Linked DNA regions of Saccharomyces cerevisiae S288C. The gene in region 1 interacts genetically with each later gene. Each region holds a gene or a part of one and is shown on either strand. Other genes may lie near its edges. The genes, in order: ICS2, ANK1, VHT1 and RRG9.

Evidence for each region.
Region 2: mutations in ICS2 (region 1) and ANK1 together harm fitness more than expected from each alone (negative genetic interaction), as found in Saccharomyces cerevisiae (one large-scale study listed by BioGRID).
Region 3: mutations in ICS2 (region 1) and VHT1 together harm fitness more than expected from each alone (negative genetic interaction), as found in Saccharomyces cerevisiae (one large-scale study listed by BioGRID).
Region 4: mutations in ICS2 (region 1) and RRG9 together harm fitness more than expected from each alone (negative genetic interaction), as found in Saccharomyces cerevisiae (one large-scale study listed by BioGRID).

What each region holds. Positions count from the first base shown.
Region 1 is NC_001134.8:548,507-556,836, forward strand, and holds ICS2 (Ics2p), read right to left. Parts: upstream 5,805-8,330; coding exon 5,037-5,804; downstream 1-5,036. Other genes in the region: DNA-directed RNA polymerase core subunit RPB5, read right to left, coding at 1-503; HSP70/90 family co-chaperone CNS1, read left to right, coding at 1,265-2,422; SLI15 (Sli15p), read right to left, coding at 2,598-4,694; AMN1 (Amn1p), read left to right, coding at 8,043-8,330.
Region 2 is NC_001139.9:43,140-47,440, forward strand, and holds ANK1 (ankyrin repeat-containing protein ANK1), read right to left. Parts: upstream 2,059-4,301; coding exon 1,513-2,058; downstream 1-1,512. Other genes in the region: RTF1 (RNA polymerase-associated protein), read left to right, coding at 1-35; TAD1 (tRNA-specific adenosine deaminase), read left to right, coding at 168-1,370; karyopherin KAP114, read left to right, coding at 2,306-4,301.
Region 3 is NC_001139.9:614,734-624,320, forward strand, and holds VHT1 (Vht1p), read right to left. Parts: upstream 5,126-9,587; coding exon 3,344-5,125; downstream 1-3,343. Other genes in the region: ADE6 (phosphoribosylformylglycinamidine synthase), read right to left, coding at 1-1,232; membrane insertase COX18, read right to left, coding at 1,595-2,545; transcription elongation factor SPT4, read right to left, coding at 2,783-3,091; GID10 (Gid10p), read right to left, coding at 6,188-7,066; YGR067C (uncharacterized protein), read right to left, coding at 7,639-9,587. UniProt on the Saccharomyces cerevisiae protein: Involved in uptake of biotin with the concomitant entry of protons.
Region 4 is NC_001146.8:245,951-251,740, forward strand, and holds RRG9 (mitochondrial ribosome assembly protein RRG9), read right to left. Parts: upstream 1,155-5,790; coding exon 510-1,154; downstream 1-509. Other genes in the region: PEX17 (Pex17p), read left to right, coding at 1-266; VID27 (Vid27p), read left to right, coding at 1,511-3,859; MRX7 (Mrx7p), read right to left, coding at 4,105-4,365; MER1 (Mer1p), read left to right, coding at 4,981-5,790. UniProt on the Saccharomyces cerevisiae protein: Required for respiratory activity and maintenance and expression of the mitochondrial genome.

The DNA.
Region 1 (8,330 bases):
TACCTTTTTAAAAGCTCTCTTTTCTCATCACTACTCAATCTGATATGCTTTGGAACCAATTCGTGGTGAGTAATATTAACCACTAAGGCAGCTTCATTAAAAGTTTCAATGGTGGCTGGTGGTATAGAAGGCACCAATTTCATTGCACTTGGTGTAATATTATTTTGGTAAACAAAGATACCTGTTTGGAAATTTTTTTCTTGAATATGTATAACAAAAGTCTTCATTGTCTTTACACCAACGGAAGGCTCATCACAAAATTCTACCCATAAGGAGCCCATGTCTGGGAACTTTGATATAGATTCTTCTGTTGGATTTGCCTGGAAGGACATCATTTTACGTTGTGGTCTGCCCATGGAGTCACAATACTTGGCCTTGAAATCTTCCAATGGCAATTCGACTTCCTCTTGAGTGATAAAATAACCCCTGTCCTTAACCATTTCTTTTACTGTTCTGAATGCTCTCCATAATCTTGAGATGTTTCTTTCATTTTCTTGGTCCATTGTCTTAGCTTATTAGTAATATCCACCTGCGCACAAATTTTGTAAATCCCCTACTAATTTAATTTGAATTCAAATTGGCTCGTGATCTGTTGACCCTTGTTAGCAACGTTTGTAATCTTCCTCACCGAATTGCGTCGTTTTGAATAATATATATGATTGAAAATTTTTCAAGAGAAAAGAAAAATTTTTCCTTCCGCGGTCAGCCATTGCTAAAAAAAGGCCTCCGTTAGGAGTCGAATAGAGGACAACAACAATACATTGCCACTTTAATTTTAAATGCTTGCATATTAACTAGCGATCAGATGCTCTGCTCTATATAAAATAAATTATTGATACGGTTTCTAGTCTCGGTTGATGATAAGAGTACGTTAATCCACCTACCGAGCATTACCAAGATATCTGGCACTTTATATGTAGAGAGTCTGTGTTCTCAAGTTTACTTGTGCGGATAATGAGCTTAAAGACTTAAATACTAAAAGCGTATGCGTTCGTATCTCTGTTTAGGCACCTTGTACAGTTTCACAGAAAACTGTGTAATGTGTGATTATAGTACACAGAACAAAATAACTTCACCTCATCTCTTTCTTAACGCAGTGAGGAAAAAGGTGGAAAAAAAAGAAAGAAAAAAAGAATATGTGTAATTTCCGGCACTTTTCAGAGCGATGAGCTTAAATTCAAAAGCAGCATTGAATTAAAAGTGAGGTCTTGAGCACTACATTCTAGCAAGTAAAAGAAAAGAATAAATTGGTTTTGCATCTAGAATGAGCTCCGTTAACGCAAATGGAGGATATACCAAACCACAAAAATATGTGCCAGGGCCAGGTGATCCTGAACTTCCACCCCAACTATCCGAATTTAAAGATAAAACATCGGATGAAATCTTGAAAGAAATGAACAGAATGCCTTTTTTCATGACCAAGTTGGATGAAACAGACGGTGCAGGTGGTGAAAACGTGGAGTTAGAAGCTTTAAAGGCATTAGCTTATGAAGGCGAACCACACGAAATCGCTGAAAATTTCAAGAAGCAAGGTAACGAACTATACAAAGCAAAAAGATTCAAGGATGCAAGGGAACTTTACTCAAAGGGCTTGGCTGTAGAATGCGAAGATAAATCAATAAATGAGTCACTATATGCCAATAGAGCGGCATGTGAGTTAGAGCTGAAAAATTACAGGAGGTGTATCGAGGACTGCAGTAAAGCTCTAACTATTAACCCCAAGAATGTTAAGTGCTACTATCGTACAAGCAAGGCTTTTTTCCAATTAAACAAGTTGGAGGAGGCCAAATCAGCCGCAACATTTGCCAATCAAAGGATTGACCCAGAGAACAAATCAATTTTGAATATGTTATCAGTGATTGATAGAAAAGAACAAGAATTGAAAGCAAAAGAAGAAAAACAGCAAAGAGAAGCTCAGGAACGTGAAAACAAGAAAATTATGTTAGAGAGCGCAATGACGCTGAGAAACATAACTAACATCAAAACTCACTCTCCAGTAGAGTTACTTAATGAGGGTAAAATAAGGCTAGAAGACCCAATGGATTTTGAATCTCAATTGATCTATCCCGCATTAATTATGTACCCCACGCAAGATGAATTTGATTTTGTAGGTGAAGTAAGTGAGTTAACTACTGTGCAAGAACTTGTTGACCTAGTTTTGGAAGGGCCGCAAGAACGCTTCAAAAAAGAAGGTAAGGAAAACTTCACACCAAAGAAAGTGTTGGTGTTCATGGAAACAAAGGCAGGTGGTTTGATTAAAGCTGGTAAGAAACTGACATTTCACGATATCTTGAAGAAAGAGTCGCCAGATGTACCATTGTTCGATAACGCTTTGAAAATATATATTGTGCCAAAGGTAGAAAGTGAAGGGTGGATTTCCAAGTGGGATAAGCAAAAAGCCTTAGAAAGAAGATCTGTGTGAAGTGTCAAATAGTTAAAAATATGTAACGCAAAGTTGTAGATAGAAATAACAAAGCAAGAAGGAAAAGTAAAGAAAGTGAACGATATACGTAATGCAGGGGGAATACCAGAGTATTTAAAGTGTACTTGATTTAATGTTAACCAGTTTGAATTTTTCTTTTCTGGGGTAATCGAATTCAAGACCTTTTGGGCACAATTTGACGCGGTTTCAACCTGTTTAGCCTAGGATTTGGGAAAATTTCATCGGTGTGCAAAGGCGGAATTGGTCCAAAGATAGTTTGTGGATTTATATCTTGCTGTCTTATCAATTGCTCTTGCAAATACGGGGATTTAGCCCATGCCGCTAAAGTTACGCTAGCCTCATCTTCAGAATCAGTATTTATCTCTGGTAAAGAATCATTGACAGAGGCTATCTTTGGGGTCACATTTCCGATTATTTCTCGATGGTCAACTGTATTTATTGTGGCCAATATATTGTCGGTACTAAATGCAGTATTTTTGTTGATGGTATCTCGCACATGATTATCGAAAGGAGCCAAAGATTCTTTTAGACGTATGTCCTTGTAGTCATTACTAAAGCTTGTTTGCTTTTTTAGATCTTGTTCCAAATGCGACATCCTTTTTTGTTTCTCTTGTTTACGCCGATGATGTTCCTGTTGAGACCTCATAATTCCTGATAACCTTTTATCAAACTTTTTTTTTAAGTCATCTCGTTCTGCCTCTGCTGGTGGAAGTAATTGAAGGTTTGTAAGCCGATAATTTTTGGATTTACGAGACTCTGGCTTGGAGATGTCAGCAATATTCGGAGAAAGTTTTCTTAATGTTTTCTCTTTAATTTTCAAACGATGTGGCGTTTGCGACGTTGTTAAATTTTTATTTTTATTAGGCGAAATAGACGCTTTTGTTGGTCTCAAATAACCTCTTACAGGGCTTTGGTAATAATTTTTAACTTCTTTAGATGGCGAGCTTGAATCGACACTTATTTTTGTTGGAGAAATACTGTGCGGTCTTGAACCAGTTTTATGAACATCACTAGAGTGTTTGGACTTCTTTTTCTGTTCTGCAATGATTGCTAGCTTTTTGTGTGTCGTTAGCTTCAAAGAAGTCTTATCAAACCTCGGAATAGAGGATTTTCGAGAGTTTTTTCCTTTGGGTGAATTATTTTTGGTTATTTTATTTTTTACTGAGAATATATCTCTTAACGCTTCTTGCATATCAGTATCCGTGGAGTTTATTGACTTAAACTTTTGAGAAACTTTTTTCATGGGGGAGCCTGTTAAATCGATTGATGAAGAGGAGTATTTGTGACCAACGTTTCCACGGGAAATTTTGTTTTCAAATGATTTTGTTGGAATAGATGATAGCCTATCGAAAACACTGGATGCTTTTGTAGATCCCGCGGTATCACTGTTTTCCACAGCTCTTATAGCAGGACTATTTATCGTAGATTTTTTTTTAAATGCGATTGGTGATTCCTTTACTGTTCGTACTTTTGGTATTGATCCTGAAGATTTTGTTGGTGGAATGTGTTGAATAATAAGAGGATCTTTATTCGGCAGTGGAACAAACATATTCGACCTTCTTTGAGATCTCGCTATCCCAGAATTCGGTGGTGGTTTCACCTTTACTGATTCAGCTTTCTTTAAAGCTTGAAGTATAGGTTCATTCTCCATTTCTTCCTTAGCCGCCCATGTTTGATTATCGAAGCGTTTTGTATTAATCGGAGACTCCGAAGTCTTGGAGGATTCTCTTAGAACCTTTTCAACTTTGTAAGGTGACCATGGTGAGGATTTTTCGCTTTCATTGGCGTCGACTTTAACGCTATTCAATGGCTCAACCGGGCTTTTATTGGTATCATGTATACTAAATCTATTCATTCCTTCGGTGACTTCCTTCCTGCGGAGTGATTTAGGCGTGATACTTTTATCGTTATGTAATCCATTTCTGGGTGTCTTAGTAACGTCTTTTGCGGCATCATTCTGGGAGTTAGAAAGTTCATATTCTCCTTTCATTTTAGGAAATTCGACATCCATTTTGTTATGCGTATTTTCGGGGCTAATTAAAGACTCTTCCATCTTTTTGTCTTCATACTTGAGTGTATTCATATAAACATTATTTCTTAACCATTCACTACTTTCGTACAATCGTTGATTTATTTCTGAATGTGCATCTGTTGTTAGATTATTTAGATCATCGAGGGTTTCTATGATTGAACGGGTAGAGCCTGGCTTCCTTTGAGTTTTCTTCCTAGCTGCTTTGATTGCCCAGTCCATTGTTTAAATCTTCGGGCTCTTTCAAAGTCCGTCAGTTGAGGAGATACTTTGAAACGTTTTGTTTGTATCATTGGCAATACTTGAAACGAGTTTTTGTTTGTTTTCTTTTTTTAGTTAATTCGCGAAATTTAAAATATGAAGATCGGTTTCAGAACAGAATGGATCAGGCTTTTCCGCGTATAAGAAATAATAACACTGACATAACGCTATAACGAAACAGCGTAACAAAATACTCTTTACATGGTTTATTTTTATATATTCATTTAACATTATCAAAACTAACATTAAGTCCTTTATTTATCAAAACAAACGAAAAAAAAAAATGCGAGACAAATGATCCAGTCATTTATTGTCAATATCTAAGTCAATTAGTGGTTGCAATATGTCTCCAGTTTCCACTTTATGAGCAAAAATTTTGCCCTCAATATTTATCTGATTTTTTTCAGCGAATTCTTTCAAACTCCCGAATCTACCGCTTGCGTTTCTTCTTAATTGTTCATTGGTATTCATGATTGTGTTTTTCGGGGACATTTGGTGGGTATATGAAGTATCCGGTGAAGAATGATATTCTTTGTCCAAGAAAGAACTTGCCAATGAAGTTTTTCTTGAATTGACGCCTATGCTTGAATTAGAATCGTACCCGTCAATGAAATTTGGCTTACAAGACCTGCTGAATGAGATTGCATGACTTTTTCTGTGGTAACTTTTCCTTCGCCCTGAAGGCTTTGTAAGTTCGTGTGATAATGAACGTGAATGCGAATGTGATGATAATTCATTACTTTCTACCCTTAAAGGTGATACCGCATTAGGCTTTCTTGGACATATGGAGGAATTTCTCCTCGTTTTCACACCATCCTTGTCTCCAGGGAAAGAGTAGGTCTTCAGCTTGTTGAACAGAGCTTCGCCTTGAGACTCTTCAAAATAAAAGCTCTTTTCGTACTCATGGGGTTGTTTGCTGCTATCGAACTGAGATTCTGTTGAAGAGAGAGAGCTGAAACGTCCATAGAGTGGGCTGCCAAGTGATTTAATGGATGTACTAGATTGACTGCCCGTAGTAGGAAAACTAAATGTGCTTATTCTTTCTCTTTCTTTTTGCTCAAATTTGCCCATATCTTGCTGGAAAGGGAAACTTCAGTGAAGTAATAACGAAGGTGGTGTAGAGTATAAATTTTTATTAAGTATGCGCTTTGACGTTCACATATTTGTAAAAGATTTATTTGAGAAGATAGAATGGGTCTCATTTATTTATACTTAAATGCTTCTTTGGATGTCAAGCTTTCTTGATGCCGGACTTGCAGTCGAAGGGCTCTTTCCCAACAGATATGTAACCAAATGCGTCGAATAGAAAAAGAAAGTCTTCCAAGGAAAGTTTATTACGAGGGGTTTTGTGCATTAACGTGGCATATAATTAGGTATAAACTCAAGGTTGGCTTAAGATTAGCGAAACAAAAGTATAAACGACCCAAAATTGGAGTGGATGTGTTCTTTAACACATAAACTGTCGTACAAAAAAAAAAGAAACAAAGAGCAGTTGAAAGAACATCAAGATCATAAGGACCCCCATATCGTGATAATCATTGATGACCAAATCGTGAACTCCCTGCGCCTATGCCGTGCCATAGCAAATAAAGTACTGGGCTGGATTGTTAATGACTTGCATATTAACGACAGGTAAACGGTACCCTATTTTTCTTTTTTACGTGCTACGGACGAAAAGTGAGGGTGATTAACGCTTCAAATAAGAAACGACGGCTAGCAGGGTCTAGATGCGTGAGATGAGATAAGGAAAAGAGCTCTGTGTCCCAGGTAATAATCCCTGGAGAGATATAATCTTCCCTACAACTTGATTGCATATTAACGCTCCCAAGTTGTGGCCATTGAAGAGCTCTACAGCAATGTCCCGACGAACGGAAATAACCCTCTTTTTCATGATATTTTCGGAGTTATCTCCACTGTCAACAACTATTCTCGAATATAACAGAATGAAAGGGATCACGTACGCTTGTTATATTGCTGTCGTTCTCCGTTCGCAATCCCATTATATGCGAGGGGCAAAAGAAGAGACGGCCGGTAACTCATTTTTTGGTGTGTGAGAATTGCGGAAGCTTCGTTCTCCCACCTTTTTTCGCTGTGTTTTTCTTGTCCTCAGCACCGGCTGGTCAAGCCGGTGCTGAACGGCCGGAGAGAAATATAAACGGATGAAAACGTGTTAATAATTGCATCAGTAGTAGGTGGCGGGGTTGTCTCATTTTTGTTATGGCGTAAGGTGAAAAATTGTAAAGGATTGGTTCGGTTGGGTTGGCGACAATTAATTATGGGATAAAAAATTGCTTAATCTTTATTGGAGCAATTACCTGCATAGGCACTCATAGGCCACAAGGGTTTGATGGCGGAAGGATGTTATACCTACGATACTACCATACATGTGATATGTCACTTTCTAGTCCGAAGCGTGGAACATATTATCTTGTTTGACGTTGTGGGTGTTAACCGTAATTGTCTGGGTACGCCGAAGGCACGGAGACCATGTTAAAATATGTTTCTCTTTTTTGCTCATTTTTTTCTATTTTTTGCTGCGCATTGCCCGAAGCTTTTCTTAGTGGTAGTCTGCTCTCGCGCTCTTTGTTACACTCGCAAAATTTTTTTGCTGGGCAAAATAAAGCACTCTCCGGCCATTACTGGCTGTCGTCCGCCAGGATTTTCATTAACTTGCAGAAGTAAACAAACAAAACACAATTATGACACCGTGGAAGTTTCCTAAATGGTAACAAAAAGCTTAATTGAAAGAAAGAATTTCCTTCAACTTCGGTTTCCTGGTTCCGCTATTTCTCGCTTGTTTCTTCTATTGGACTTAGGATGTCTCATCAATCATCTTATTCCTGCTGGTGTTTTTTGTATCGCCTTGCCTTGGAGTGTTTATGCTTGTCCTTTGTTCAGTAACCATTCTTCAAGTTTGTTTCAAGTAGTAGGATACCTTCAGATATACGAAAGAAAGGGAGTATAGTTGTGGATATATATATATATAGCAACCCTTCTTTATAAGGGTCCTATAGACTATACTCTTCACACTTTAAAGTACGGAATTAAGGCCCAAGGGAACTAACAAAAACGTTCAAAAAGTTTTAAAACTATATGTGTTAACTGTACAAAAATAACTTATTTATCATATCATTTTTTTCTCTGTTTATTTCTTCTAGAACTTATACCTGTCTTTTCCTTTTATTCTTTGAATTTGGTTTAATATCCCTTTTTGGTTTAATATCCATCCATTCCTTTCACTTAGAACTAATAATTCCCTTCGTTTGATAATTTATCATTTTCCTTTTCTGTTAGTAAAGTACCCATTAAATGAAACTAGAACGCGTAAGCAGCAATGGCTCCTTCAAAAGAGGTAGAGATATCCAGTCACTTGAATCTCCGTGTACTAGACCGCTGAAAAAAATGTCACCTAGTCCATCTTTCACATCTCTTAAAATGGAGAAGCCTTTCAAAGATATTGTAAGGAAGTATGGAGGTCATCTTCATCAAAGTAGTTACAATCCCGGCTCAAGCAAAGTGGAGTTAGTAAGACCAGATTTGTCTTTAAAAACAGATCAAAGTTTTCTTCAAAGTAGTGTGCAAACTACGCCTAATAAG
Region 2 (4,301 bases), on another chromosome or scaffold:
GTGAATTGGATATCAAATTTGACCTTAAGTTTTAGTAGGCAGGACAATTTCAGTGTTTGTAAAAATATATTTATATTTATATATTTAAATATACTAAATAAAAATAATACTATCATCGTTGTGATGCAAAAAAAAAAAAAAATGAACAGAAAATAATAGTGATGTGAATGGTTTCGTGCCAAGGAACAAGGCCATGCATAGTAAACCTTCTCACTATGCCAAGTGAGGATAAATTGGGTGAAGAGATATCAACGAGGGTGATTAATGAGTATTCAAAACTAAAATCTGCCTGCAGACCAATAATTAGGCCTTCAGGTATCAGAGAGTGGACAATATTGGCAGGTGTTGCAGCTATTAACAGAGATGGCGGTGCGAATAAGATAGAGATACTTTCCATAGCTACTGGTGTGAAGGCTTTGCCAGATTCAGAACTACAAAGAAGTGAGGGGAAGATTCTGCATGACTGTCATGCAGAAATACTGGCATTACGAGGTGCTAATACAGTTTTATTAAACCGTATTCAAAACTATAATCCATCAAGTGGTGATAAATTCATTCAACATAATGACGAGATACCTGCCAGATTCAATTTAAAGGAAAACTGGGAGTTGGCATTGTACATCTCGAGATTGCCCTGTGGTGATGCCAGCATGAGTTTCCTGAATGATAATTGCAAAAATGATGATTTCATCAAAATAGAAGATAGCGACGAATTTCAATACGTCGACCGTAGTGTGAAAACAATATTGAGGGGACGCTTGAATTTCAATAGAAGAAATGTCGTTAGGACTAAACCAGGAAGATATGATTCCAATATCACTTTATCTAAATCCTGTTCTGATAAATTATTAATGAAACAACGGTCGTCGGTACTGAATTGTTTAAATTATGAACTCTTTGAAAAACCTGTATTTTTAAAGTACATTGTGATTCCTAATTTAGAAGATGAAACGAAACATCATCTAGAGCAATCATTTCACACTCGTCTACCGAATCTAGATAATGAAATTAAATTCCTGAATTGCCTCAAACCATTTTATGATGATAAATTGGATGAGGAGGATGTTCCTGGTCTAATGTGTAGTGTCAAGCTCTTTATGGATGACTTTAGCACCGAAGAAGCGATTCTTAATGGCGTGAGGAATGGATTTTATACCAAATCATCGAAACCACTGAGGAAACACTGTCAATCGCAAGTAAGCCGGTTTGCACAATGGGAACTATTCAAAAAAATAAGACCAGAGTATGAAGGAATAAGCTATTTGGAATTTAAATCTCGTCAAAAAAAGAGAAGCCAGTTAATTATCGCAATAAAGAACATTTTATCTCCCGATGGTTGGATACCCACCAGAACGGATGATGTGAAGTAATATATATATATATTGTTGAATATGCGTATATGCACACTTTTTTGTTAGTGCACCTTAAAGAAATATATACACAGTAGAAATATCTATATATCCAGAGTTCATCTATCTTTCCCTCTCTGTGGTATTATCATCACATATTTTATCATTTTTTATCATCTTCTTCGTCATCGTCAGATGGACCATCATCTATCATTTCCCCATCCTCATTGTTATCACCTGATCCATTGGTACTATCAATCGCTAACTCGGCACCCTGCAAAAGGTCAATTAATTCATCCAGTTCATCACCATGAACCAAATCAACTGGCTTTTGATTGTTATAGTTTCTCACCCTAGGATCCGCACCCACTTCAATTAAGTTTCTAGCAATAAAAGTTCCATGCTCAGGCTCCTCTTGACTGTATCTGACAGTAACATGTAACGGAGTGTCGCCATCAACGTCGTTTTGTGGGTCTATTTCGATTTCACCGTCTTGATCGAGAATCTTGTCGAGAACTTCCCAGGATCCATACTTACAACATAAATGTAACGCTGTATTCCCCAGTGGTTCTTTGGATTCGTTAATTAGCTTTGCAATCTTCTCAGGATCATTATCTAAGCTATCAAATACGGTCTCCAAAAGATCCAGATTGTTTCTTCTAGCTGCATCCAGCAATTGTTCACTTAAAGAAGCACCTTCAGTATTCATGATCAAAAAAAGAAACTAATTTATTTTGTGAAAAACTTCGACTTCTTTCACTTATGACTTTTTTCACTGGGATTCAGAAACTACCTCACAGGACCCCTATATAATGAATTTATTGTCAACCTTTCTATCAACGCGTTATACCTTGGGTATACTAGGAAAAAAAAAAAAAGATACATATGGATGTATATGACCTGCATACACGATCCGAAAATCTTGAACGTAATTGTAACACTATCAACACATTAAAATGGATATTAATGAATTGATAATAGGTGCTCAATCAGCTGATAAACACACTAGAGAAGTTGCGGAAACGCAATTGTTACAGTGGTGTGATTCCGATGCATCTCAAGTGTTTAAAGCGCTGGCAAACGTTGCCTTACAGCACGAAGCTTCTCTAGAATCGAGACAGTTTGCTTTATTGTCGTTAAGAAAATTGATCACCATGTATTGGAGTCCAGGATTTGAATCATACCGTTCTACATCGAACGTCGAAATAGATGTTAAAGATTTTATCCGAGAAGTGCTACTGAAATTATGCTTAAATGACAATGAAAATACCAAAATAAAAAATGGTGCATCTTACTGTATTGTTCAGATATCTGCGGTTGATTTTCCTGATCAATGGCCGCAGCTTTTAACAGTTATTTATGATGCTATCTCTCATCAGCATTCATTAAATGCGATGTCTTTATTGAATGAAATTTACGATGATGTCGTATCTGAAGAAATGTTCTTTGAAGGCGGAATTGGCTTGGCGACAATGGAGATCGTTTTCAAAGTACTCAATACAGAAACTTCTACTTTGATAGCCAAAATTGCTGCTTTGAAGCTACTTAAAGCATGTCTTCTACAAATGAGCTCCCATAATGAGTATGATGAGGCGTCACGAAAAAGTTTTGTCTCCCAATGTTTAGCTACTTCTTTACAGATATTGGGACAATTGTTGACTTTGAATTTTGGAAACGTAGATGTTATTTCTCAGTTGAAATTTAAATCCATTATATACGAGAATTTGGTTTTTATTAAAAATGATTTCTCTAGAAAGCATTTCTCAAGTGAATTACAAAAACAGTTCAAAATAATGGCAATCCAAGATCTGGAAAACGTTACCCATATAAATGCAAATGTCGAAACTACTGAAAGTGAACCCCTTTTAGAAACAGTTCATGATTGTTCTATTTATATTGTAGAATTTTTGACTAGTGTTTGCACTTTGCAATTTAGTGTTGAAGAGATGAACAAAATTATAACATCTTTAACCATTCTTTGTCAGCTAAGTTCTGAGACAAGAGAGATATGGACAAGCGATTTCAATACATTTGTATCGAAGGAAACAGGCCTAGCAGCATCATATAATGTTAGAGATCAAGCCAATGAATTTTTTACTTCATTACCCAATCCTCAACTTTCCCTAATTTTCAAAGTTGTTTCCAACGATATAGAACACAGCACGTGTAATTATTCAACTTTAGAATCTTTACTATATCTCTTACAGTGTATTTTGCTTAATGATGATGAGATAACTGGTGAAAATATCGATCAATCTTTGCAAATTTTAATAAAAACGTTAGAAAATATCTTAGTATCACAAGAAATACCAGAATTAATATTGGCGCGTGCAATTTTGACTATTCCCAGAGTACTAGACAAATTTATAGATGCATTACCTGATATCAAACCCTTGACATCTGCATTCTTGGCAAAAAGTCTTAATTTGGCGCTAAAATCTGATAAAGAGCTCATTAAATCCGCAACATTAATAGCATTTACGTACTATTGTTATTTTGCCGAACTAGATTCAGTCCTTGGACCAGAGGTCTGCTCAGAAACCCAGGAAAAAGTAATTCGAATAATCAACCAGGTTAGTAGTGATGCCGAAGAGGACACTAATGGGGCTTTAATGGAAGTATTAAGTCAAGTCATTAGCTACAATCCGAAAGAACCTCATTCAAGAAAGGAAATTTTACAGGCTGAATTTCATCTTGTGTTCACGATCTCATCCGAGGATCCAGCAAATGTACAGGTCGTTGTACAAAGTCAAGAATGCTTGGAGAAACTATTGGATAATATCAATATGGATAATTACAAAAATTACATTGAATTATGTCTCCCATCATTTATTAATGTGCTAGATTCCAACAATGCAAACAATTATAGATACTCACCCCTGCTATCATTAGTCTTGGAATTCATCACAGTTTTTTTGAAGAAAAAACCCAACGATGGATTTTTACCAGATG
Region 3 (9,587 bases), on another chromosome or scaffold:
GAACCCAAAGGAGCCTCAATCATAATATCTAATGCAGATGCAATATGGTAAGGCTTACCAATATTCAACTCCCAAGGTTGTTCATTACCTGGTATCAAAAGGTCGCTGACAGAGAATCCACTCAAACCACACTTAGTCTTGGAACCTCTGCCTGTAGCACCCTCGTCTCTGATTTCACCACCAGAACCTGTAGCAGCACCTGGGAAAGGAGACACGGCTGTTGGATGGTTGTGAGTTTCGACTTTGATAAGTAATGGAATTCTTTCCTTTGTAGAGGTCCATTCCTTTGTAGTTGAATTTGGTGCAAAGAAAAAGGCATCATTTTCACTATCCAAAACGGCTGCATTATCAGAATAGGCGCTAATAGTATATTCTGGGTTTAATTTATGGGTATTTCTAATCATTTGAAACAAGGTGAATTGTTGTTTTATTCCATCAATGGTCCAATCAGCATTGAAGATCTTGTGACGACAATGTTCAGAATTAACTTGAGCGAACATAAATAACTCAACATCAGTAGGATCTCTTTTCATAGTTTCGACGAATGCATGAATCAAATATTCCATTTCTCCACTATCTAGAGCTAAACCCAATTCCGTATTAGCTTTGGATAAAATATCCTTTGGAGACTGTTTAGTGTCCTTAGGAGTTAAAGGAACGTGAACTAATGGCTTTGGCTCTTCATGTGTGAAAATACTCATCGTATTTGGTGGTTCGGTCAGATATAATTGTTGTGTCATCCTATCGTAGACACACTTCAATGAAATATCATTTAGATTTTCCAAAAGAGGGAAACCTGGAACAGTCTTTATGAGTAAGGCTAAACCTCTTTCAATACGTTGAACTTTGTCTTGTAGCCCGCATACATGAGCAATATTAGTAGCCTTGGAAGACCAAGGAGAGATAGTGCCTGATCTAGGAACAACTCTAATCAAATATGTGTCTTCGCCAAGAGCTGAACTGGGTAAATTATTAGCGACAGCATCGTTTAATTGTCTTGCTAATGGATCGTTAGCAATATCTAAAGCAGAATCGTAAGTCAACAAAACTTCTAGCAATTTAGTGTCCTGTTCAGACAAATTTTGAGCGATGCCGTTGACATAGTGAATGTAACACGAACGCAATTCATTGATGACAGAAGTACTGTTTGTATAGGAGTTTATATCTTTAATTAGATTATCGACTCTGAACTGAGATAAGGCCTTGGGACCCGGCAAAATATAATCAGTCATTGAACTTGACTTCTTTTGTTATGGACCTGGGAGGATTAAACTCTTAGGGATATCGCTAAGATAAAAGTAGAAGAGAAATATACTTCGAGGCAGGGACAGCCAATTATTTAAATACGTATGTCAAGGTTTTCAAAGAAAGAAAGAGTTAAATAGCAAGATATATTGCATTTATTACGGCATCATCTGTTTAATGAGTCCTCATTCAATTTTTTTTTTTTTTTTTCAATTTCAAGTTCGACGAGAAATTTGGAAAAACGGGTCAGCAGGAAAGAGTCAGGAACGGTTGAAGGATATTGAAAGTCATTTTTGTTTATTTACAAGCTGATGTAGAATTACATATCCTATCTATGCGTCAGCTTCACTCATCGTTGGTAAGGATAAATCCAATTTAATATGATATTTTGCACCAGGGAGAATAGCTGTGATGATATCCAATAGAGCGAAAGAAGGAATGGAGCCTGTGAGGACATTGCTAGCATAACGACACAACCGAGTCTCGATACGTTCAGTATACTAGTCATTGCCTCTTGGACTCTTGTCGAATTCCTTGAAATTGTCTTTATACCTTGCGATGACAAACTTGAGCTAAACATCAGTCGGCCATTGAGTTCCACGTTTAATACCGCCAGAGTCCCCACCAAAATGGGCGCTAGTAGAGGCATTGCTACTAGCGGTGAGCTTAGATCAAAGGAACTGAAACCCAGTGCGGAAAACCAGGAAGGATAAAAACTTTCTATAAGCTGTGTCTCTGTTAGGGTCCTGATGCCCATGGAGACTGTGACCCAAAGAGGAATTTGCACCATTGGCAGTAAGGCATTTTTCCATAGGGGTACATTGTACTTCTTGAATAATTTTTTCTGCCTCTTTCTTGTCTCTTTCACTGCCAATAGTGTAATTTGTTCTGGTGTCAAAACGCCAGCATTCTGTAGTTGTAACGGCATGAAAGAACCGTTGGAGCTAATTCTGGCGGCATTTCTAGACTTTTTATTAGTAACGGCTGCCAGTCGAAGTTTAATAATGGGCGTTATTGGCTGTACTAATTTCCTCAGTTCTTGTTGTTTCAAAATTCTCCTCCGCTGCCATATACTGAATGGCAGCGTCACGAGGGTTCTAAGGGTCATAGTAGTCAAAGGAACAAGCACTATCCATGGTATATGTGAGGCTTCATGCACTGTTAAAAACGTGTCCGCTACACTTTGAAAAAGTGAAAAGCTTCTCTTTGTACTTGGATTAGTCCTACCATATCGCAGACCGACTGAGCTGCACGAGAATGACGCAAAACCATTTTGACGATTGGCTAACCTCTTTAACATAATGCCATACTTTATCTTGAAATTTTCCTATCCTTGGACCTTTTTTTTCTAATGAAAGTCTTTTTAGCCTTAGTTGAATTACTGGACGGTAGAAAAATTGGGTTTGCCAGCAAAAACAAAAGTGCAGAACGTTAAATAAATGAAAGCATAAACTCATATGCTAGAATATTTACTAAAAAAAAAAAAAAGTAAAAAAAATTCATTACTATTATACATGTGATATCAGAACGGAAGGTTTTACTCAACTTGACTGCCATCCCTCGGTTTGTAGTGAGGCAACAGCTCCACAACCTCAGCTGGTAGTCTACCATCGACCTTGATGGCGTACATACCAGCTATACTATGATCTACGCTCAGCCACTTTGCTACCCACGACTTAGTAGGCTTACACATTCCTACGAGGCCCTCGAAAGAAGGCGACGTACATTCCATTGTAGAAACACCTGCCTCTTCAAAAATACCCTGACAGTTGGGACAACCATCTCTATTAAACTCATTTGTGGTCTGCACTATGCCACACAGCATACAGGCTCTTTCACTAGACATCTCTTACACTGTACCTCGTTCGCTTTTGCCAAACTGAATGTGGCCAGGTGTAATTATTACACAGTACATCCTTCGAGCCCTTTCTTAAATTTCACTTTTTCACTCGATTTCACTCATAGAACGTATAAGGTGACCTTTATCAACATCGAGATTAATTATAGATAGAAGATGATTAAATTATATACATGAATATATTTATTTGAGGTATGGTGTCTAAAGCGTAATATACCTATCTACTTCACGTAAATTGGACTACGAGGACCGCTTTAAATAGTAGTAACCATCTCTTTCCTCCATATTTTTCTTTACAAATTCTGGAAGCTCTTCACCCTTATTACTATCATACAAGATGATACCATTACCTAGAGCATGTTTCTTTTCGTTTCTCTTGTAAAAAAAAAGTACAACAAACGTCCATAAACCGTAAATAGCACCAAAAATTAAGCTCACGGTGTAACCAGTCTTAAAACGTGGTGACTCCACGGTAGGCCACGCCAAGGTAGGAATCCAGGCGTAAGTGGATTGAGAGAAGGAATAAATGGCGATCCATGTAATAGCCTTCACCTGAGGATCAAACCTTAAGAAGTCATTAATAAACGACCATAGACAAGGCGATGCGGCCACACTGAAATACGTGGTGAAGAAAGCGTACCATTTAGCTTTCGAAGGAATATCCCACTTGATAAGTAAGGCACAAGAAACGGTATTCATTATAGCAGCAAAAACCATGAATATCCACTTACATCTAAATAAATCGGCACCAAAGGCACAAAAAATCACATACGCAAATCCTAAACATGCGGGTATAACACTCAGGTTGTTCACTTGGGCAATGGAGTACTTTGTATTAGACTTTAACCACAAAGTATATGAACCACTATACGCAGTCATGTTATTCCACGAACATGTATCAAAAACAACAAGTACCCAGAATGCTGGAGTACAAAATACTTTCTTCCAAAGTTTTCTGCTCCATAATGGGGCTAGCTTACTTTTATCAACACCATCTTTGATTTGGTTCCTCTTATTTCTGGCCCTTGCAATTCGTATTTCTTCGTCAGTCAGAAATAAAGAGTAACACTTAGATGGTACACCGGGAATAACAAAAAAACCAATAATAGCCGTGGGAAGAGAAATTGCAATGGCATCGATCAGAAACATCCATCTCCAGCCTGCTAGACCATGGACGCCGTTCAAACTTTTGAATATGCGACTTTGCAGAAGTCCTGAAGTCACGGAACCCAATTGTTGCCCACAAAAGAATAAACAGACTCTTGAATTAATTTCATCTGGGGCATACCAACAACCTAGTATATATTGGGACACTGGGTAGTAAGCAGCGCCAAAGGCACTTAAAATAAATCTGTAAGCCCTTAGTTCGGCTAGTGAGTTTGCCCTATAACATGCAAATGTGAACCAAGTCCAGCCCAAGTCCATTACAGGCAAAATAATATGAGAGGGAAATCTTGGTAACAAATACATAAATGGTAATTGGAAGACAATGGCACCAACATTAGCAATAGTAGAAGTGTAAACGTAATCATTACCTTTCATGTTTAAATCTTCCTTCATATTGGAAACATATGCGTTAGTGTAGTTATTCAAATCCACTGACTTGGACCAACATAACATAAAAAAGTATAAAGCAATAATAATGTCTAGCTTGTAAAGAAGCCGTCTTTCAGCCTTGGTTTGAGTAGTATGATTAGGATACAAAAACTCGTACCACTTACGTGATTTCTTGTATTCCTTATTAACACGATACTCGAATTCATCAAAATATTTCCACCATTTACGCCCAGCTTCATCTCTCACTTCATATGGCAAGTCATGCCTTAAATTGTGAGGATGAGGTTCTACAGCTGTAGTTTCTGCCGTAACGTCTGTCTTCGAGGACTTATCTACGCTATGATGTAGCTCCTCTTCAGCTATGATACTGGAGTTAGTATCGTCTGAGTATAAGTACTGATCATCTTCGGGTAGTTTTCTCAAATGTGGGAAGTAGCTCCTCCACGATTTATTCGAAATTGTCATTATCTATTGATTTGTGTCGGTCCTTTTTTGAAAATTGAAACAAATGAAAAGGCGATTGCTCGTGGGTGTAGAGCCTTTATATATAGTTATGTTATAGCCGTAAGAGTCATGCAGATTTTTGGGAATGGCTATCATCAAACTTAGCCTTGCATCTCATATTTCGACTTTTTTTTTCATTTCACACATTTTTTTTTCCTTTCACAGTTGGGTGAAAGAGTCTCGGAGGCGGTACGGCGCTTTCTGTGTAAATCATCCTAAAGTGATTCATAATCTCAGAGCCATTTCGGGTGAACTAATGATGATTTTCTAGTAGACTACGGCAGTATCTTAGCTGACGCAATTGTAGCAATGGAGGCAATCATGTTAGTAAAGGACATTTTAGTTGTAGGAGCATAGGATCGACAGGCCATGTGAAAGGCGTACTAGCAAAGATTGAAGTAATGAGAATAATTGACGATGATTTTAATTTGAGCTTTTCAATGCAGCCGAATTCAGCAGTAGTTGCAGAACCGGACTAACACTTGAAAAAATCCCACGAGCCAGCTGCCGTCTAAGGATATTGTAATAAAGTTGGGCTTAAACTAAAGTTTTTATATCTTGGTTGTAAGGTTGTAATCATTCGTCTCAAGAAGAACGTTGAGTAATCATTAGTCCTCCGCATAAGTAGGTTGCCAATAACTTGTTCAGCAATGATGGTTGCAGCATATCCTCGCTAACGTTTTACTTACCAAATATTTTTTGCTGGTGATTAAGAAAGCTTCTACCATAAGAACACTATGTCAATTTAAAGCAATAATGTTTTCCTGAGTGTTCTTGAGCCTCTGTAAACGAATCATCAATTCAAGTATTTTTATTTTATTGCAAGGATATCGCCAACTAATTATTAACCGGCACTAATGATAGAAATGTTTTTATTTCGAACTACAAAAAGGGCATACATGACGTGGATATATGTAAAGGGTTACTAGTTTACTTATTGATGTAATATCAAGAACAATGTGCTTTTAAAAGAGACATGGTTGACGAGTAAACAAACATACATTGGTAATTCTATAAGGGTCTTTAGGCAATTTCAAATCCACTTGAGTAGGTGTTCAATGCGTCGCAGTTGGTTGGAACGAGTTCGAGTTTTTGAAACAATTCACAAGCGGGATGATAGTAGTAGCCTTCCACTGAACCTGTTAGCTGGTCTAAACACACATAGTAAAATCCCTCAAATGACGCGCCTTCCAGATGATGATTATCGTCCAACATCAGATTTTCTTGTTCCTCATCATCAAGTAGGAACCTTTCCTTCCATTTAAGATAAATATATCGTTGATTCATAAATTCTGCACTTTCATGATTATACTGACCAAAATTTCTTTCCGTTAACGACCAGTTATCAGAACCAAAATGACCAAACCTCTTCCAATGAGAGCAATCACTTTCTCTCTGAGCCATATAAGGGTCGAGCGTCTCCTCAGCGGGCCAATGCAGTGAACATAACGGGAATTGGTTATAATTGATGACATACCCTTCAAAAAGGGTAACAACTTTATCTAGGACTGGTGTTAAATTTTTAATAGTGAAAGTACCTGTGACATGCGGGTCCAAAGAACGCGAATCCTTGTAAAGTGGCAAGTTTACGGTATCAATCTTCACTTCCACCGTATAATACGTGTACTTTGACGATTGCGAACCGCCAAATCTCAATCCTGGCCTCAAAAAATCTAAATGTCTACCAAGGGATCTGTAGGTATATTTAGCATTCTTACCCACTAAATTGGTCCCTTCCTCGTAAACATCACAGTCCTCTTCTTTTGCTTTGAAGTGAGGCAAACGTGTATCAGTTGAGGAGGGTAGAGAGACATAGGCCGAAGTATATATTTCTTCAATGTTGTCATTTCTTTTGGCCCTTTCTAGAATAAACTTTCTTCCCATGATATTCAGTGATGTCATACCTACAGTATATTTTAAATGAAAAGTCTCATAACACAATACGAAAGGATAAAGATAACTCGTCGATGGCCATCATGATTGCCCTTTTTATATGTTTTTATCAAATATTAAACTAAACAACATATACAATTACATCATTTTTCCCTACTTTCTTTTTCTGTAATGGTTCATCGAAGCATTTTTAAGGGTGCCCTGAAGACTATTGTTAAAAAAAGGTACCGCATACATTCGAACCATTACCAGAAAAAAGAGGGGTGAAAAGACATTCTAAATTTTGTTATCGAATGTGAACAGAACACTTAAGAAAACGCCAAGGTTAAGAAGGCCTTGAGAGTATTGATTAAGGCGCATGGAGCACAGGTAAACGCGAAAGACGTTTTGTACTTCCTTTTACTGAGCACCTCTTACATGTAGTAGTAACCATCGCAGCGGAATAAGCACACAAAAAATGGTATTTACTTTTAGGCAAACTTGTGGGAAGTATTAAAATTATTATGTAGATTTATGTATATCGTTTGTGGTTGTATTAAACTTTAATGTTATTAGTGTTGTTAACAACATTTCTTTGGCCATTATTTTATTTGGCTAAAAATTTCAATGTTTTTACTTTGTTTATTGTCAGTTGAAGAAGCTGAGAATTCTTGTGATTCCATGTTTACCTGGGGTGGGACCACTATTGTTTGGACTAAATTGATATTGTTTCCTGTTGCCCTTAACAATGGTTGTTCCTTCTCTTGTTGCTTAGGGGCCGAGTTCACGTAGGTGTAATTACTCGTTGAGATAGGTTCAATGGCTTTTATATCTAATGGGGGCAGGAGAATCTTATTACAGTTTGAATCTCTCTTTAGGAAATTAGGAGAGAGTGGCAAACATGATGCTACTGAAAACGATTTCATATCAGAAGCACCAGATAAAGAACCTCTTGAAGTCTTGCGAAACGGCTGTTGAAGAGCAAAACAAGACCAATTAGAGATATCAGTCAACAATGCTTTCGTCTGGTCATTCAGGTGAGGGGAGTAGATTAAGTATGGGTAAAGAATATTATCTCTTAATGAAGATACAATAGCATGCAGTAGTATATGGTAAGCAATGAAGGAATCTGACCAAAAATCGAACAAAATGGAGTGTAAGTCTGTCACCAAGTTCTTTTGGTGTGTTATAATGTAGTCATTCACAAACACTTCAACCTTCTCAAATTCCTCTTTCTCTGTTGATGAAAGGTAGCTCTGACGTTGTACATAAATGGTATCGAACCAGAAATATAACATTAGGTGAACATTGGGGTTTACTAGTAATTGAGATACTTGTGATGGTGAAACATCCGAGCTTGCAATTAACTCCGATGAAAACAATTTTAGTTGGAAGCTGACAATGTCGGTAATTAACTGAATATTCCTTGGGTTTAAAGATGCCAGCGTGAAAGACTTCAAATTAAGAAGCATTGATATGATTGATAAGTTCGTGGTGATCAAGGTTTCATCAACAAATGAGGAAGAATGATGAAGTAAGCACGAGGTCGATACCTGTGGAAAGTTATCAATGAACCATATGTTCCTTGTGGTCCCATTTCTCAAAGTCAAGTTGTTGATGAATTCGAACCAAATCGTTTCCCACAATAACCAGTTACTTTTCGATTTGCAGTCCGTAATCCTGGCGTTCATAACGTTCGCAAATAAAGAGGGGTTTGCACTAGTTTCAGGTTTGATCGGCTGCTGCATTACGAAACATTCATTCAAGTAAACCAGCAAATCATGCACTCTAAAATCAGATGGCAGCTCTTGCGGATAAGTCTTCTTTATTATAAAATACACGTACGCGGAATCTGCCAAAATATTGATATGCTTTAAAGTTAAGTCAGTAGTGGACATTGACGGTCCCTTGTATATGAAGTCCTTAAGTGGATTAGACGAAATAAACTCTTGATTGACGAACCAACCAAATATTAGTAAAGAATCGTTGTTGAAGTTGTTTGAATCGCGCAAGATATTGACCCATAGATCGAATATGAACCATGCATTTTCCTTACTATTCAAATAATGGTAACTGGAGGATGCCACGGTGAATGGCTTCAGAATATCTTGAAGCATTGAAAACACATCGAACTTTTTAATGGAATTAGAAACAGGAATGTTATTCTCCAACATTACTAGAAGAGAATAAAATAGAATCAAGGCAAAAACATCATGTTGCTCTGTCTGTGACAAAATGTCCTCAGTGTCAAAGTCATTGTCATGTTTAGATGAGCTAGCATACAAATTCGTACAACAGATAAACCATAGTTTTTGAGAATCTTGATTTAACGAAATGGACATACCCAGACAAGCTATTATGAGACCAAAAGGCTTGTTAATCCAAAAACTTTCCACCAGCTCGTCATTTTGTAGTGATGAGAACAGGTCTGGAAAGAAATTTTGGAAGATCTTATTTTCTACCAAGTGGCTTACACCCATTCTGAAGAAAGTTAGAATATCTCTTGAGCTAATAAAATCTAATGAATATTCTTGCAAAATTTTTACACTGA
Region 4 (5,790 bases), on another chromosome or scaffold:
ACGACAATATAATACGAGAAGATAATAGCCATTGGGCTGAAATGATTTATCAACTGCAAAATATGAAACAAGAATTACAGTATTTTAACAGATCCTCAGGCCAACCATCTGAAAGTATAGACGATTTTGTCTTTCAAATTAAGATGGTGACTGACCAGGTTGAGTTAACAGATAGGTCCCGAGCTTTCTCAAATAAATCAAGAAATATTATACAGGGAATCCGAGAAATCAAAGGTTGGTTTGTGAATGGCCAAGTGCCAAGGTAACAATCAAAAATAATAGCATTGAATTTAAAACGCTCTAGTGCACGTAACGCATCCGTCTGATCAGTGGCGAACAATACCGTTATTTTTCATAGTACCTAAGAAGACACATACCAATTTTTGCAAGTGAAAGTGCAGAAACGGTTCCACTAACGATATTACTGCATGCTCTCTATTCTAATGTACATATATATGTTCCTTTATCTACAAGAAGTTTCGTAATAATATATAAATCCCTCAAAAGTGTTATTGTTTCGAGCCCAAATGCTTCAAAATGTATAGTTTGTTGGTGTTTTTCTTTTCAGGTGTACTGTTGTTAGGCTTGAAAGGTTTAAAAGTGCGAACATTCCTTGCTATTAATTCAGGTGAATTTGAGTTGGACCCAAGTATAATCTTTCTGCTAGTAACAATTTGATTGGATACAAAATCGGCATCCTCTTTTCTTTGATACATTTCTTTTATCCGTTCTCCTCTTCTTTTCCATCTCTCGTAGGTGTTATTGTTTTCCTCATCAGTACGCTTCCAGTTGGACTTCAAAATTCTTCGAACAGCCTCGGGAGAAATTTTGAACCGGTCTGCAAGATCAGATGCTGTCAGTTCAGGAAAGTTGAATTTCAATAGTCTTAGAGCCTCCATTTGTTCCTGTGATATCTTTTTTGGTGGGTTCCACCTCTGGCCTTGCAATTTTTTTCTAACTGCCATTTTCTGCTTCTTCCACTCAGGAATGTCTTTCGTACCATCTCGTACTTTTTCTGTAAACTCTTTATTGGACAAACTCGATTTATTGACTAATTTAATAATCTTTTTGGATGACCATCCCCTGTTCTCATTGAGTAATGGACCGCAGCGCAGGCAATGAAAAGAACGACATGCTATTCGCAGAATGTTCATGCCAAGTGCTAACCAAATGATTCAGAAGGAAGTCGAAGGGAATACGTAGTGCCTTGTTAAATAGCTTACCGTGATATGAACAGTATACGATCGACTCTCCTTGGAGACTTTCTACACCATTGGTGATTGGTGTTTTAGTTCTACCATCATTTCATATTTACTAGCTTTATGATCATTTTAGACGACTGTGGGAATGTTGTTATTTTTACTAATCACTTTTACTTAGTAATGTCCCTTAAGGACAGCACTGAAAGCAAAGTAGTCAAGCACTTCATTCGAACTTGATTAGTAGAAACAAACTTCATTCTTTCTTTACGTATCCAGTCCAATAATATCTGCAGTAGTTATAGTGACTGATGAACATTTTGAAGAAGTTTATGGAGTCTGGTAACAAGCCAGAGCTCATCACGATACCTTCTGGGCAGTTTAATCTTTTGAGGTCTAAGAATTCCCCTAAAGCTGCTTTAGAATGTATTTACAACAATGCAACTTTAAGCGTACGTAAAATAGGCAAATTTGATTATGAGTTGGCGGTTTATAGGGTAGAGGACGATAGTGAAGGAGGCACGGGAGATGAGGCTGAGAATTTTGAAGACGACACCATCAGTGTTTTATCCACACAGTCTAAAAAGAAAGAAGAGGAGTGGAGCGTTGAAATATCGGATAAAATCATGTTTCACAAAACATGGGATAAACAAGGAAACGTGGCGCTTGTGTGGGAGAACTTAAGAGGTGATGAACAAGATGAAAAGGTTCAATTTGTTGTTGCCGCTGATGTGTCGTTTTCTGATGTTGAACAGTTTATCCAAACTGTTTACCGATGCCAATTCGAAGTAAGGAATAAAAAATCCTCTCTCACTGCCTCAGCAGATGACTTAAAGGAAATAGAGCATAGATCAACCAGGCTCTTTGTTCAAGATGATGATGACGAGTTAGATTCAAGCTCAGATGACTTTCAAGATGCTAAAGACACCTCTTTTGAGCACGAGAAGGAAAGTGAAATATTGGAAAGAACTCCTTCTCCATTGAAAAAAGTTCCAGAAGGGGAATATTGTTGTTTAGTGATGTCTAGCCTATACATGTATGATCCAATTCAAGAAAAATTTATTCTGCAGGAGCCCGTGGTAAAGGTAGCAATTATTGATACAGGCAAGTACGAATTTTGGCTAGCGATAGAAGGTAAAGATAATCGTCTTGGGACTCAGGTCGCCCCAAATATCAATCCTACCTTTGAATTAGCTACCGATGCCTTTCTTTTCAACTATACGCTACAAAACATTACATTGTCTTATATGTTAAAATTTAAGGACTTAGATAAGTGTATTCAATTCAGGTTTGCTTGGGTTAAATGTTTATGGATGACTTTGAACAAAGAAACGTGGACCGACGTTCCTGAAAAGGAGAAAGATTATATTTTAGATTCATCATCCGTGCCATTGGAAAAGCAATTTGATGACATTTTACACATAGATGACAGATCAAATGAGGAAAGAGATAAAGAATCAAGCGAAAGTGAAAATGATAGCGAAGATGAGGATGACGAAAACGATCACTCCAAAAGAATCATTTCATCTGAAGCCTTTGAAGAACCTAGGCGTGCGACTTCCAAAGGTAATAGTTCATTGACTGTCGCCTTTAGGAACAACAGGTCATATGTTACAAGAGATAACAGAATTGGTGTGTTCAAAACGGATGATGAAGACGATTCTCTAGAATTTGTAGCTGCCATAAAGAATATTTCTAATTTAGGTGGTAAAAGCATTGATCCTCATAAGCCAATGTTGTATATGGAAGATCGTAATTTAATTTTGACTGATGGCGAAAATGAGAACAAACTTTATAAGATGGATATAGAAAGAGGAAAGGTGATTGAAGAATGGTCTACTGGTGACAAGAATGTTGTTCAATATGGTCCAACCAAAAAATTCGATCAAATGACGCCTGAACAAACAATTGTTGGCGTTTCACAGAAAGGTGTCTTTAAAATTGATCCTAGAATTAACGGAAAAAATAAAATAGCCGTCGATGAATCAAAAGATTACGTGGGTAAATATAACTTTAGCTCTATTGGAACAACAGAGAGTGGTTATATTGCTATTGGGTCAGAAAAAGGTGACATAAAACTATATGATAGGCTCGGTATTAGGGCAAAAACTGCTATACCTTCACTAGGCCAAGCAATCAAGTTTATTACTACCTCTGCTGACGGTAAATGGTTATTGGCGACTTGCGAGAGTACTCTGCTTCTTATGGATTTGAAAATTAAGGATGGAAAAAATGCTGGCAACATTGGATTTCTGAAGTCGTTCCCAGCCAGTGAAAATGTTAAAACATATGTATTAAAAATACGACCAGAACATTCGGCATCAATCTTAACGTACACAAAAAAACCAATCCGATTTACGAAGGCTTATTTTAATACCGGTATAGGCCAGCAAGAACAAACTATTGTTACATCGACGGGTCCTTATGCGATTTCTTGGTCATTAAAGGGCATTTTAAATCAAGATGGTAGTAATAATTATCCTTACAGAATCCGTAGGTACAATGCTGATGTTGTTGCTGATAATTTTGAATTTGGTTCAGACAAAAAGGTTATCGTTGCCTTGAAAGACGATGTCTCTCTATCGAAAGTGAAATCCTTTAAACAGCCAAGCAAAGGAGTCTTGATGCCAAGTGCTTCCCTCCAAGATTTTTATGGCTAATTCTTATTTTCAAGGTTTTAAAGTTGTATTCCGAGTGTATTATATAGTTGTTTCCCTTCCGGAAGTTGTGTAATATATAGTTTTGAATATATATAATGGTGTTAAATAGAAATGCCAAATAGTACGTAGTAATATTATTTAAATTGCATGCGTTTTTTTCGTTTTAAAAAGAGATTTTAGTGTGAAATGCAGTCAAAAGGTACTTTTGTCTGTTTTATAGTACTTGTACATCAGACAAGGATGAATTAATCTTTTTTAAAGCGGTCTCCTAGTCTCCTTCTGAACCCAAAAGTAGATCTCATTTCATCCCAAAATAAAAGCCTTAAAGCCTTAAATTTCTGTCGTGGAGTTGGCTTATAAAGATATTGAAAAGCAGTTGATTGGTCAGTGAAAGGATCTTCTTTAATACCATTTACTTTCCTATATACCTTGCGTACAAATCTATGGAAACCTGGACTACTCAGTAACTTGTAGTAAAACCATTCTTCTATACTTCTTGGAGGCATGCTTAAACTGATGTGATAAACATATTCTTGTTGGTAACAGAGTGTTCGTTCAATCTTTTTAAGATATTTTGTTTCCTAATTTCTTCACATTTTTGAATTACTGTTTTTCTTAATTTCATAACGGGTTCTTTTCAAAAAACCGTAAAAATTTGAGGTCACACCAACTAAATACAAATTGTTTCATCACGGTGACTATATCAAGAACTTCGTAAGGAAACATTTAGAAAACTCAATATAGTAAAGTTTCATCAGCAATCTTATCTGAGTAATATTATCTACGATCTAAATATAGGATGATCTGCCGATTTAGGAATCGTACTGTAGATTGCTCTTGGCGACAGATATAGTGAAATACCTTTTACAAAGTGGATACAGGTTGCCTATCACTACCGCCATTTCACTAGCAAGTAGAGTATTGAGAAAACGGTAAACTTTGAAAGTTGCAGATGCAGAATATATATCTGGTTTTGTAGTTCTATCCGCTAAACGGGACGATCGCATTTTAGCCGCCGACAGTGTTAATATAAGTAATGAACTTGGGTTAATTTGATTACGCGTCACAGCTACTAATAAAATAAGACCGAGAGTTTTAATCAGCTAGTGCATACCAAAACAATGAGTAACCAACACAGCCCTCAGCCATTTTGTTTGGACACCAAATTGGTGAAACTATTAGAAGAGCTCCAGGAGGGAAAGCAATTCAACAATAAAAACATATTCCCGGAAAAAGCATTATATTTGAAGCTCGCTCTTGATTATTCTTTCTTCAGAAAGAATTTACTAGAGTTTTGCGTCCACCTTGACAAGATAAAAGGAGTCATTAGACCAAACTATGACACTATATATATTTTGTGCCTGTTGGAGGTGGATCTCCTCAATCTGGTATTTACCGACAATATATTGGAAATATGTTTGCCCAGGTTTGTTTCAAGGGAGGACTTGAGGGTTTTTAATAATACTTTTTACACATATCACGATAACCGCCTACGTATTCTCCAAGAAGACTTTTCTCAATTGTTCAAAAAAATCAAAACTAAGGCTTCTGTACTATGTTTTACAGTTGAGGAAATTTTTCTGACAAACCAAGAAATTTTACCTCAAAACTCAACAGTGGCAGAACTGCAAAAGAGCACTAATAAAGTACAGACAAATGGGCCGCAACGGCACGATTTCATAGTCACTCTAGAAATAAAACTGAACAAAACACAAATCACTTTCCTCATTGGAGCTAAAGGAACGAGAATTGAAAGCTTGAGGGAAAAATCAGGCGCCAGCATAAAAATAATACCTATTAGTGATAAAATGACTGCACATGAAAGGAACCACCCTGAATCTGTTCAACAAACAATACTAATTTCGGGTGACTTATACTCAATTGCATTAGCCGTCACCAGTATAGAGTCTGCATTAATTACTTTGGATTTA